2 linked regions of the Oryctolagus cuniculus genome follow. The main gene of each other region encodes a partner of the protein of the gene in region 2 in a complex. Links are inferred from orthologs where the notes say so. Each region holds a gene or a part of one and is shown on either strand. Other genes may lie near its edges.

Evidence for each region.
Region 1: the proteins of ITGB7 (region 2) and ITGAE are in contact, whole or in part, in a cryo-EM structure (PDB 8ZJF), measured with the Homo sapiens proteins. The link is inferred for Oryctolagus cuniculus from reciprocal best matches to the Homo sapiens genes ITGB7 and ITGAE. Residues at the interface, in NP_000880.1 of Homo sapiens: Val201, Leu202, Pro203, Ser206, Thr207, Val208, Pro209, Ser210, Lys211, Arg213, His214, Cys216, Pro217, Arg219, Leu220, Glu221, Arg222, Leu255, Asp256, Ser257, Pro258, Thr291, Phe292, His293, Thr294, Ala295, Gly296, Asp297, Lys299, Leu300; in NP_002199.3 of Homo sapiens: Phe36, Leu38, Arg91, His92, Arg93, Gly94, Leu111, Arg113, Leu118, Ser119, Ser120, Leu122, Glu196, Glu198, Arg230, Tyr233, Glu234, Phe237, Glu238, Cys239, Asn240, Ser259, Gln260, Val262, Met263, Leu266, Arg300, Leu401, Gln403, Phe406.

What each region holds. Positions count from the first base shown.
Region 1 is NC_091448.1:49,068,734-49,074,833, reverse strand, and holds the start of ITGAE (integrin alpha-E), read left to right. Parts: upstream 1-2,693; 5' UTR 2,694-2,819; coding exon 2,820-2,853; intron 2,854-6,100. UniProt on the Homo sapiens protein: Integrin alpha-E/beta-7 is a receptor for E-cadherin. It mediates adhesion of intra-epithelial T-lymphocytes to epithelial cell monolayers.
Region 2 is NC_091442.1:56,212,873-56,217,703, reverse strand, and holds the end of ITGB7 (integrin beta-7), read left to right. Parts: intron 1-235; coding exon 236-382; intron 383-666; coding exon 667-860; intron 861-1,129; coding exon 1,130-1,353; intron 1,354-1,520; coding exon 1,521-1,740; intron 1,741-1,853; coding exon 1,854-2,062; intron 2,063-2,310; coding exon 2,311-2,471; intron 2,472-2,638; coding exon 2,639-2,719; 3' UTR 2,720-3,377; downstream 3,378-4,831. UniProt on the Homo sapiens protein: Integrin ITGA4/ITGB7 (alpha-4/beta-7) (Peyer patches-specific homing receptor LPAM-1) is an adhesion molecule that mediates lymphocyte migration and homing to gut-associated lymphoid tissue (GALT).

The DNA.
Region 1 (6,100 bases), on a different chromosome or scaffold from region 2:
TGTACCCATTCAGCAACCTGGTTCTGGAGCAGACAGACCTGCTTCTGAGTTCCAGTTCTGCCCACCTAGTGGCCATGTGGCCTTGGGCAAAGTACTTGCCCTCTGGAAGCCAGCTTCCTCAGCTGTGAGACTGGGGCCTTTGTGGGGTGACTGAAGGTCACATGAGGGCTCCATGGAAGGCCTTGGGCCTGAGGCTGACTCCAGCGCTGTCCACGAGGGGTTACGTCTGCTCTACGCTCTACCCTCCCTCCATGCTCCTCTCTCCCCGGCCCCAGCACTCTGCAGCCCTCTGCATTCTCCCCAGCTTCCTAGGACTCAGGCAGTTGGGTGGTTCCAACAGGGGCAGGCTGGGGCAGACCCCACAGACCCCAGGGAAGCCCCTGCCTCATGCAGAACACCCCTCCACCTGGGAGTGTTCTGTTCAATTTTTTTAATTTAGAATAATTTAAAGATCACAGAACGTTTCCAAGGATAGAGCGAGGATTGTGCCACGTTGTATCTTGTCCTTCCTCCCTTCCCTGTCTGGACCACGCACCAAGCACCACCCAGCTTTACCCCTGCTGTGTGCTGTGGCCACAGTGGAGTCAGCACGTTCAGGAAGTGTGTTCAGCATGTTATCAGAATGATAGCTGCCGACTTGTCATGTCCAGGTCTCTGTCCTGTCAGCGGTCTCTCAGAGACTGTTACCACCACGTTTTTCTGGTCTGGGGTCTGGCCAGGGCCAGGCGCTGCCTTTAGGGAGCATCTGTTCTGTAGCCTTGTCTGGCGTGGTTCCTGAGCCTTTCATGTGGTTTTTGAAGAGTCAAGTTTATGCTATAGAACGGCTGTCAAGTGGGTCCCTTGGTGTTTGCGATGTGTTAGGAGGCGCCTTGAGGTTTGCTTGGTTAGGGTGTGTATTTGTGAACACCTAGCTGTGTCCTAGGTGCTGCGAGCGAGGAGCGTCACACAACACAGCCTGGCCCTGACCTTGGGGCCTGAAGTTTGGGTGTTGGGGGCAAGCAGTTACTGTCCGTTGGGCTTAAAGGGCCCCTGTGTGTTCTCGTGATTAGAGGCACTGACAAGCTTGGGCGAATACATCTTCGATGGATGCAGGATGAGTCTGTTCTGGACGTCTACAGAGATGGAGAATTTGCCCGCTGAGGTGCCCCCAAGTCCACACTCTCAGCACGAAGTCCTGCTCCTCAGTCCAGCGTCCAGCTCTGCCCTTCCGAGGACCTACTCTATGACTTTGGGCTTCTCCCCTCCCCCTCCAGGTCTAGTGTCCTTGGGACTCAAAATGAGCTGAGGGGGGCAGGAGAGTCACGGAGCCCTGGAGTGGAGGAAGATAGCCTGCAACAAGGCTGAGCAGGTGTGCACGCCTGCACTGTGCTCTGGGGGCAAAGTCAGACCCGAACTCGCTTTCTGGATGGTATGCCGTAGGGGAACATGGTGAATTGTCATTTCTGCCCCAATAGCCACGTTAAGATTTTGTCATGGGTGTTTTGGTGAGACCAAAGCAGGCCATGCAAAAATGTTTGAAAGTGTCATCAGATCTCCACAGAACTGTGGCCGAGCAAGCTTTCAATGTGAGAAGATAAAATTGATTTTCATCTAGTCATTCAGTCAACACCACTCTTACCTTTATTTAACGCATTTCAAAGTGCACCCCTGGGGCAGGGTGCCCAGCAGAGTAGCTTCTTGCTAATGTGCACCCTGGGAGGCAGCACATGATGGCTGGGTCCCTGCCACCCACATGGGAGACCTGGGTTGAAGTTCTGGGCCCCCAGCTCAGCCTGGTCCGGCCCCAGCTGTTTCAGTTATTTGGGGAGTGAACCATTGGATGGAAGAAGATCTCACCCTTCCCTCCTGCCCTTTCAGAAAAATAAATTTCTAAAAACTGCTCTTCCTGGAGCTGTAGATGTTCATGTGAGAGAGAACCTGATTAAAGTCCAGTTCTCTGCACTGGCGATTTACCAAGGGCTCAGTAGCCACATGGGACTGATGTCTTTGTGTTGGAGAGTGCAGATGGAGAGCAGCCCCCTGCACTTCCCAACAACCCGGAAGCGGAGGTGCAGGAGGAGACCTGCAGGCCCTCACACAGGACTGCAGGCGGTCAGCCCTGCGGTCTCTGGTGGCTGGGGTGGGTCAGAGGTGTGCAGTGAGATCGCAGGAACATCACCCCTTCTGTTACTTGAGCAGCTCAGGGCTCTGTTAAATCAGGGGTTGCACCAGGGTGCTGTAGCCAGAGTTTAAAGAGGATCCAGCCAGCGTGGAACTGAGACATTGATTCCAGCCAGGGCTTTGGTTCTTTCTGCTTTCCTGGCCTTCCATAATCTCAGGGCCTTGAGTGCACAGGCAGGTACAGGAGCCCAGTTTCTGGCCCGGGGTGGGGGAAGTTCCTAGAAGAACGGGATCCCTGTCTCCCTGCCACCAAGGACCCTGGGCTGGGAGCTGGGCCAGGGTGGCCGGCGGTGGTCCTGGGGCAGGGCAGGGGACTGGGACTCTTGGATGACACGATGGGCTGAGTTGGTATTGCCCCTGCACGGCCACCGTCTGCCACTCAGCTCACCGTTCCACAGGGGTGTAGGTCCAAGTGTGGGTGATGGAGCAGAACCCACTGCTGGCTCTAAGCTCCCAGGAACCAGCCCACAACTACTGAGAAAGCCACGTGGCTGGCGGTGTACAAGCAGAAACGTGCCTACTCGAGAGTGCCTGCCTGCCCGTGGGTGCCTGCTGGTCTCTGTCCCCGCCTCCTGGCCTCCTAAACCGACGAGGGGAAGCTGAGGCTCCTCTGCAGCTCCTGGCTCGGTCTGCACGCAGCTGCCTCCGCTCCAGCCGGGATGTGGCTGTTCCTCTCTCTGCTCTGCACGGCCGGTAAGTCGGCTTCGCCTCCTGCCTCTGGAGGCTGCTCGGCCCCACGTCTGTCTGTCTAGCCAGGATCAGTGAGGGGAGCTTCCCTGGGGAAGGGGAAGGGCTGCTATGGCTGTGTTGACTGCTGACGGACGGCTCAGGGTTCTGCTGCCCTGTTCCCCAGGGTCTGGTGGGGGTCTGGTCGGAGTCAGCCCCCTCTCTCCTTGGCATCCACTCCGGGCAGGTTGTGAAGTCGGATCGTTCTCAGCGTGTGGAGGCTGATGGTGCCTGTTCCACCTGCAGAGCTCCCTTCTCTTACTGAGCGGGGCTCAGCCACTGAGGGCGAGGCCCCTGTGAGTGGGTAGGGTGGGCGTTGAGATCTGCGCCTTGGGGGGAGCCAGCATCCTGTTCTTGTTGTCAGGGTTCGTGTGAAAACCCGGGTGTGGGTGGAAGGGAGGCACTTCTGCCTGGGGGTCCTGTTCTGTGTGTTGAGCCGCCCATGGAACATTATGGGTGAGCCAAGCCGGGAGCCTGCCCACAAGGTCCCAGGAAGGACATGGCACGGTCAGGTGAACCCTTGGAGGTGGCTGGGATCAGGCCTGAGGCCAGTGTGGTCCTGCCTAGTGGTCTGGGGAGACTTCTGGGGTCTCCTGCCTCCGTCAGGAGCTTGGCAGGGGAGTTAGATGGACGTGAGCATGTGTAGCTTAAGGGCTTTTGGGAGCCTGCACTCTCCCTGAAAGCAAGCTGGGGCTGGCCAGTGGGCCCCAGTGTCTGGATGAGCTGAGTCCATGGCAGGTCACCGAGAGAGACCCAAGCCTGCACGGGGCCCCGGCAGAGTGTGCGTTTGGGGAGAGACATTAATAATTGATATTTCAAAACCAACAAAATAGTTGTTATGGAAAGATCGAAGTTCTGTTGAACTTCCTTTACAACGCCGAGCTGTCTTTATTGTCAGTTACACAGAGTGTGGAGAGGGCCTCACGCTGTCTCTGGGGCTTAGGACCCTGACACACAAATGCCAGAGAAGGGGCTTAGGGTGGGCCCTGGCGTCCCTCTCCCATGCAGAGGAGACAGCCAGAGAAGGGCAGTGACTCCAGGGCCACGAGCAGGTGCCAGCAGAGGGGCTCAGGCCCAGGCCCCTGTCCTGCCTGGGGGCCCCGGGACAGCTGTCCCTCACCGCAGTGCCTTTTCTAGTGGGTGACATTTACCAGACCCCTGTGAGGCCCGAGCTGCGAGGCAGCAGGGCCAGGTGGGGGAGGCGTCATCAAGAGCCCCGTCCTGAAGGTGCCCTGAGCCCCGCTGGGGGAAGCGATGCTGTGGCAGTTCCACCCTGAGCAAGGGCCCAGTGCTGGAGAGCTCCCTGCAAGAGATGACGCTGGAGCCGTCTTGAGGGCTGGAGAGTCTGAGTGGCAGGGAGGTAGCAGGGAAGGCAGGAAGAACCTCTCAGACTGCAGCCCCAGGACCTGGGCCTGCCTCGGCTGGAGACGGCCCACGGCTGTCCCTGGCCTGGCCTGCTCCTCACCTTCCATGTCCCCCAGCCGCCCTCCCTGGCCATGACCGAACAACGGCCCAGGGAGGTTTTAGGGAGAGTGCAGGTGCAGAGGGGCGCGGCCTCACGGCCTGCTGTCCTCAGGTCAGCCCCACCCCCGACTCATTCTGTGTCCACAGCCACTCACTTCTCCATCCTGGGTCTCAGCACCCCGGGGCAACATCCCTCACCGTGCAAACAGGGAACTGGGCTGTCTGCCCGTGTCCTTACAGGGGTGAAGAAGAAGGAACCAAAAGTCCAGGGCCTGCTCTGCTGATACCAACTCAGGCCGAGGCTCGGGGCCCTGCCGGGGCGATGGGAAGGCAGCATGTGTGGGGCATGAATGAAGAACTTAACTGATGGCGGGCCGGCGCCGCGGCTCACTAGGCTAATCCTCCGCCTTGCAGTGCCGGCACACCGGGTTCTAGTCCCGGTCGGGGTGCCGGATTCTGTCCTGGTTGCCCCTCTTCCAGGCCAGCTCTCTGCTGTGGCCAGGGAGTGCAGTGGAGGATGGCCCAAGTCCTTGGGCCCTGCACCCCATGGGAGACCAGGAGAAGCACCTGGCTCCTGCCATCGGATCAGCGTGGTGCGCCGGCCGCAACGGCAAAGGAAGACCTTTCTCTCTGTCTCTCTCTCTCACTGTCCACTCTGCCTGTCAAAAAACAAAAAAACAAAACAAAAAAAACTGATGGCGGTCATCATGGCGTGTGAATTGGGCCCCAAGGATGGGGCACAGTGGAGAAAAGGGGCTTCCTGTCTAGGGAAACAGTGTAGACAAAGGCCTGGGAGTGAGGAGTCTGGCTTTGGAGGGGGGGAGGGGTGAGGCTGGGGTGAGGCAGCAGCATCAGCAGGCCCCAGCTCCTCCCCCAAAGTCAGACCAGAGCGGAGGGCAGTGGCCCTGTCTGGGGGTCCCAGTGTGATGCATGTGTGCGCGCACACACACACACACACACGTTCTGACCCCTTGAGCCCCTGCAAGAGAGGCCATTACAGATGTCTGTGGGTCTCAACATGGTGGTGGGGGGAGGGTATTCAGGCAGAAGGGAGCCCAAGCAAACGTGAAGTGTCCAAGAGGGGCAGTGTTCATGGGAGAACCGGGGCGTGGCAGGGGGCAGGCCCTGTGGGAGCTCCAGTCTGTGCTAGCTTGGCTTGTGCAGGGCGGGTATGATGTGTGTGGGTCCTGAGTGCTGTGGATGGGGTGTGTGGGTTTACGGTGTGTATAGGATCTAGGGGTGGGTTGTGTTGGGGTGTGCATGAGGTATAGAGGGTATATGGGGTGTGTGTGATACATATGGGGTATGGATGAGAAGTACGGGGTGCGGATATATGAGGTGTGTGAGATGTGTACGGGTGTGGGGTGTATAGGGTGTGTAGGGGGTACGTGGGGTGTGGCTGTGTGTGGTGCACATGGGGTGGGTGTGCGCTGAGTGAGGGGATGAGATGGATGGCATGTGTAGTGTGTACTGGGGGGCACATGGGTAGCCCGGCCTGGGAGTGCCTCGGTACAGGGGTGAGGAATGGGGAGGACCCAGAGTGCCAGGCTGAGGGGGCTTGGACTTCAGCGGGAGGGCACCGGGAAGCGCCAGATGGCCTTGAGCAGCATAGTGACCGCCAACCTGTGTGTCGTATGGAAGGCGGAGGCCAGTGCAGAGGCTGCTGCTGTGGTCCAGTCCACAGATTGCCGAGGAGGTGGGGCCGCCCAGAGAAACACTGGGCATGGAAAGCAGTGCCCTAGGCCGTTGT
Region 2 (4,831 bases):
TGTTGGTTACAACACCGGGGCGGCCCCTGCCCTGCACACGTCTGCTGGCAGGTGCATTGTGGTGTGTTAGAGGCCTGGTGAGCACTGCCTCCACAAACACCTATGGACTAGGTGGAATGGAAGAGGCGCTGGAACACGGCAGGCAGCGCTATGGCAGAATTGGGACCAGCGGGGCAGGGCGTTAGGTTGGGGCTGGGGTCCCCACTTCAAGCTGTTGCTCCCTCTCTTCTGGCAGAGCCTGTCATCCACTGTGACCCTGGAGCACTCGTCCCTCCCTCCTGGAGTCCACATCTCTTATGAATCCCAGTGTGGGGGTTCCAAGGAGAGGGAGGGCGAGGCTGGGCACCGAGGGCAGTGCAACAAAGTCCAAATCAACCAGACGGTGAGAGCCAGCCAGGCTGGGCACCGGGGAGGTGTGGGGAGTGGGCGTGGAATGCAGGCAGGAAAAGACGGGGAGCAGGCACTGAGAACAGGGTGGGAGCGTGGGGTCGCCAGCCCCCCATCCGTCCTGAGCTTTAATGCATGGCTCCTTCAAAGTGGGTATCCAGGGCATGGTGTTAGCAGACTAGTCCTTGGCCTACAAAGGGGTTGGGTTCTGGGCGGTTAGTGGGCCTGGGGTGAGTGCGTGTGTGACGTGGCCTGAACTCCTGCCCACTCTGCCTTCAGGTGAATTTCTGGGTTACCTTGCAAGCTACTGCCTGCCTCCAGGAGCCCCACCTGCTGAGGCTCCGGGCCCTCGGCTTCTCGGAGGAGCTGACTGTGGAGCTGCACACGCTGTGTGACTGTAACTGCAGCGACACCCAGCCCCAGGCTCCACACTGCAGCCATGGCCAGGGGGACCTGCAATGCGGGGTGTGCCGGTGAGGGCCTCCTCTTCCCTTCACCACCCGGCTCTCCACCCCCAACCTCCAGGGACCAACCCTGGCTCCCATCCTCCCCCTGGAGTCATATGTCACGCCCTGGAGCTGTGCAGATCCGCCCAGGCATCTCTTTCTTGCCCCTTGGCGCTCACTGTACTAACTCCTCTCCCGCACTCTCTTGAGAACTTGGGTTTGGAAGATCGCGCAAGAGATGGGCAGGGACGGTTAAGCCCTCTAAGCCGCCTCTTTCCTCCACCTTCGCCTCCCAGGTGCGCAGCCGGCCGCCTGGGCCGGCTCTGTGAGTGCTCGGAGGCTGAGCTCTCGTCTCTTGATCTGGAAGCTGGGTGCCGGGCCCCCAATGGGACAGGGCCCCTGTGCAGCGGGAAGGGACAGTGCCAGTGTGGGCGCTGCAGCTGCAGTGGACAGAGCTCCGGGCGTCTGTGCGAGTGTGACGATGCCAGCTGTGAGCGGCATGAGGGCATCCTCTGTGGAGGTAACTGGAGCCTTGAGATGGGCAGGGGCAGCGTGGTCTCCCCCAGGGGCATTCAGACTCTGGGTGTCACACCACTGAGCCAAGCAAGTTTGGAGGCTGGAGAGGGACGGGGTGCATGGCCTGCGTGGGGGAGTGCATCTGCCACCCTGCCTGTGCCTCTACCCCAGGTTTTGGCCGCTGTCAGTGTGGCGTGTGTTACTGCCATGCCAACCGCACGGGCAGAGCGTGTGAGTGCAGCAGGGACACGGACAACTGTGTTGGTCCTGAGGGAGGACTCTGCAGTGGGCACGGTCACTGCAAATGCAACCGTTGCCAGTGCTTGGACGGCTACTACGGCGCTCTGTGTGACCAATGCCCAGGCTGCAAGACACCGTGTGAGAGACACAGGTGAGGCCCAGGGGCTTGCATCTTGGGAGTGGAAGGGGGGCTGACAGAGCCTGCTGAACCCCTCCTGCCTGCCCGCCCGCGGTGAACGTTAATGCATTGGCCTCCACGGACAGGGACTGTGCGGAGTGCGGGGCCTTCGGGACTGGTCCCCTGGCCTCCAACTGCAGCACGGCTTGTGCCCATGCCAATGTGACGCTGGCTTTGGCTCCCATCTTGGACGATGGCTGGTGCAAAGACAGGACCCTGGACAACCAGTTGTTCTTCTTCCTGGTGGAGCACGAGGCTGGGGGCAGCGTCGTGCTTCGAGTTAGCCCCCTAGAGGGTAAGTGGGCAAAGGGGTTGTGCACCTGGCAAGTGGAGCCCCGCGTTCATCAGGTGGGGTCTCGTTCATCAGGTGGGGGCTCAGGCTTCTGGCCGCAAGTGCAAGGGCAGGGCGGGATGGGGGAAGCCAGTGGAGCAGGCCCAGGCCCTGGGCAGTGAGGACAAGCTCAGGCCCTGCTGTTTCCTCTGCTTTCAGTGGGACATGGCCCGGCCAGGGAGGCTGGTTCATCTGTCCTGTTTTTCTCACAGGGGGCGCGGACCACACAAAGACCATCGTGCTGGGCTGCGTAGGGGGCATCGTGGCGGTGGGACTGGTGCTGGTCCTGGCTTATCGGCTGTCGGTGGAGATCTATGACCGCCGGGAGTTCAATCGCTTCGAGAAGGAGCGGCAGCAACTCAACTGGAATCAGGTGAGGCGGTGGCCCGCTACCTGGGCTGCAGTGCCCGGGTGGGTCCTTCTCCCTCTCCACCCCCACGAGCTCCTAGGATCCTGCTCCTGTTCCAGGGTGGCCTCCTAGGACTAGGTGAGGGGCAAGGGCACCTGGACTTGCCCTCACCCCTGGGCCTCTCCCCTCAGGACAACAACCCTCTCTACAGAAGTGCCGTCACGACCACCATCAACCCGCGCTTCCAGGAGCCCGAGAGGCCTCTTCTCTGAGGCAGCAGCCAGGTAGGGGCCAACGCGCCCCGTCAGCGGCTGCCGCCTGGATTCCCTGCCTCGCACTCTACAGTACAGAGACTCATCTCACACCACAGCCGTCACCTGCCCTCTGCGCCAGAGGCCAAAGTGGGCCACTCCTCTTGCCACCTGAGGGCAGGCTGGTTCTCAAACTGGACCCTGGGGGGAACACCGGGTACACTGCCTGGCAAACAGCCGAGCGCCAACTCAGCCCAGGGGCAGGCTCCGAGCGCTCAGGTGGTGCAGGCCCGTGGAGGCCACAGACCACACTGGGGAGCTGGTGGCTCACCCGGTTCTGTCCTGCTGTGAACGCTACCTTGGCCGGCTTTCCCTTCCACACGGTCCTCTGCAGAGCGGGGAATCTTACCGGTGGCTTATACGGGCTGCTGTTGTGGTGCGAAGGGTCAGCTGTTGCTTGCCCCACTGCTCCACTTCCAATCCAGTGCCCTGCTGATACCTGGGAAAGCAGCAGCGAATGGCCCGAGTCCTTGGGCCCCCGCCACCCACGTGGGAGACCTGGAAGACGCTCCTGGCTTTGGTCTGGCCCAGTCCTGGCTGTGTGGCCATTTGATAGTGAAGATCCCATTCTGTCTCCCTTGTCACCCTACCTTTCAAAGTAAAATCGTTTACAAAAATGGTTTATAGAGTGCTGGAAGTTGTGGGGCAGTTACCTTCAGGTGGGGAGGGGGACATTCAAACCACTCTGCCTCCAGGGAAGAACACTGCCCACAGGATACTAAGTCTTCCCGAGCAGGAGATAGGACGTAGAAAAGCCTCACTTCCTTTTTATTTAAATACCCTAAATATATCACAACGGAACATACACTGCACTTTAATGGTAAAAAGATACAAGTTTATAACATCTTATAAAAACTACCATTTAAAAGTGATCTTGTTCATCTGATATTTCCCTCCCCAATAGCAAAATAAGTATATTAAAAAAAAAGGGGGGGGTAGGAGGGGCTATGGAAGGGGGACGCCCCCGGGCGGCAGCAGAGGCAGAGCATCTGGGGAGGGGGACAGTCAAGGTGGGCTCTGCTCACCTATCCTCCAGTGTCAAGCCATGGGGCACAGTCAGTAGCTAAGTGATGACGAGAGGCTGCGGGGGTGGCTGGAGGGGAGGGGTGCTGGCAGGGCGTGGGGCAGTAGCCCACCCAGGGACTGGCACCACTTTCTCCCAGGTCCCATTCCACATCCTGGTGTGAGAGCTGCCCTGCCTCCACCTACCCTCACCCCAAACATACCTGAGGCATCTTTCCAGTGCTAGGCTCACCCCAGCCAAGGGGCAAGGGGAGGCACTGGGCCCAGGAGCCTGTGCTGCCATCTTGGTCTGGGTTTCCTGGGGTGTGAGTGGGGCTCCTGGGCCCCAGGCACTCCTCTGCTCCTCTCTCCCATGTTTGCTGCCCCAGGACATTTGCATGCCAGCAACCAAACTGCCCTCCTGCTGTGAGGCTCCCCCACTCCCAAGCCAGGGCGGAGGAGCTCTGGCACAGCCATGTGCAGGCACAAGTCCCCTCCCTCCTACCCACCCAGTTGGGCAGGGAGCCAAGGCCTGCAGGGGCCAGGGCACATTCTGATCGAGCACACCTATGCACACATGGGGTCATAGGTCACCCCCATGTTGCTCCTCACACCCCTCCCCCCCAAACAGTGGCACTCCAAGTGGCAGGGAGTGAGACCTCCTATTTTCAAAAGCACTTTTGGAGGGCAATTTCTAAATGCAGCCTTCCTAGGAGTGGCAGAAAAACCTAACAGGGAGAGAGAGATGCCCTGGGTGCAGGGCCCACAACGCAGGCCTGAGCTGGGCCCAGAACACACTGCCCAGCGCCTCCCCAAGGAGGAAGTCTAAAGGGCGCCTCATCTCCTTTTCCCCTGACACTCGCACCTCAGAGGGTGCAGCCCTCCTGGAATAGGTAGCAGCCAGGTGTCGGGGCCACTGCGCCCTTGCCCCCCATGCATGCAGGAGGCTGCTGCACATGGCCTACGCCCCCAGCCTGCGTGCAGCTTCTCTCAGTCTCCACGATTCTGTCTAAGACAGCCCTCCCCACACAGGTCAGGGCAGGCCACAGTGGTCAACCAAACTCCAGAACC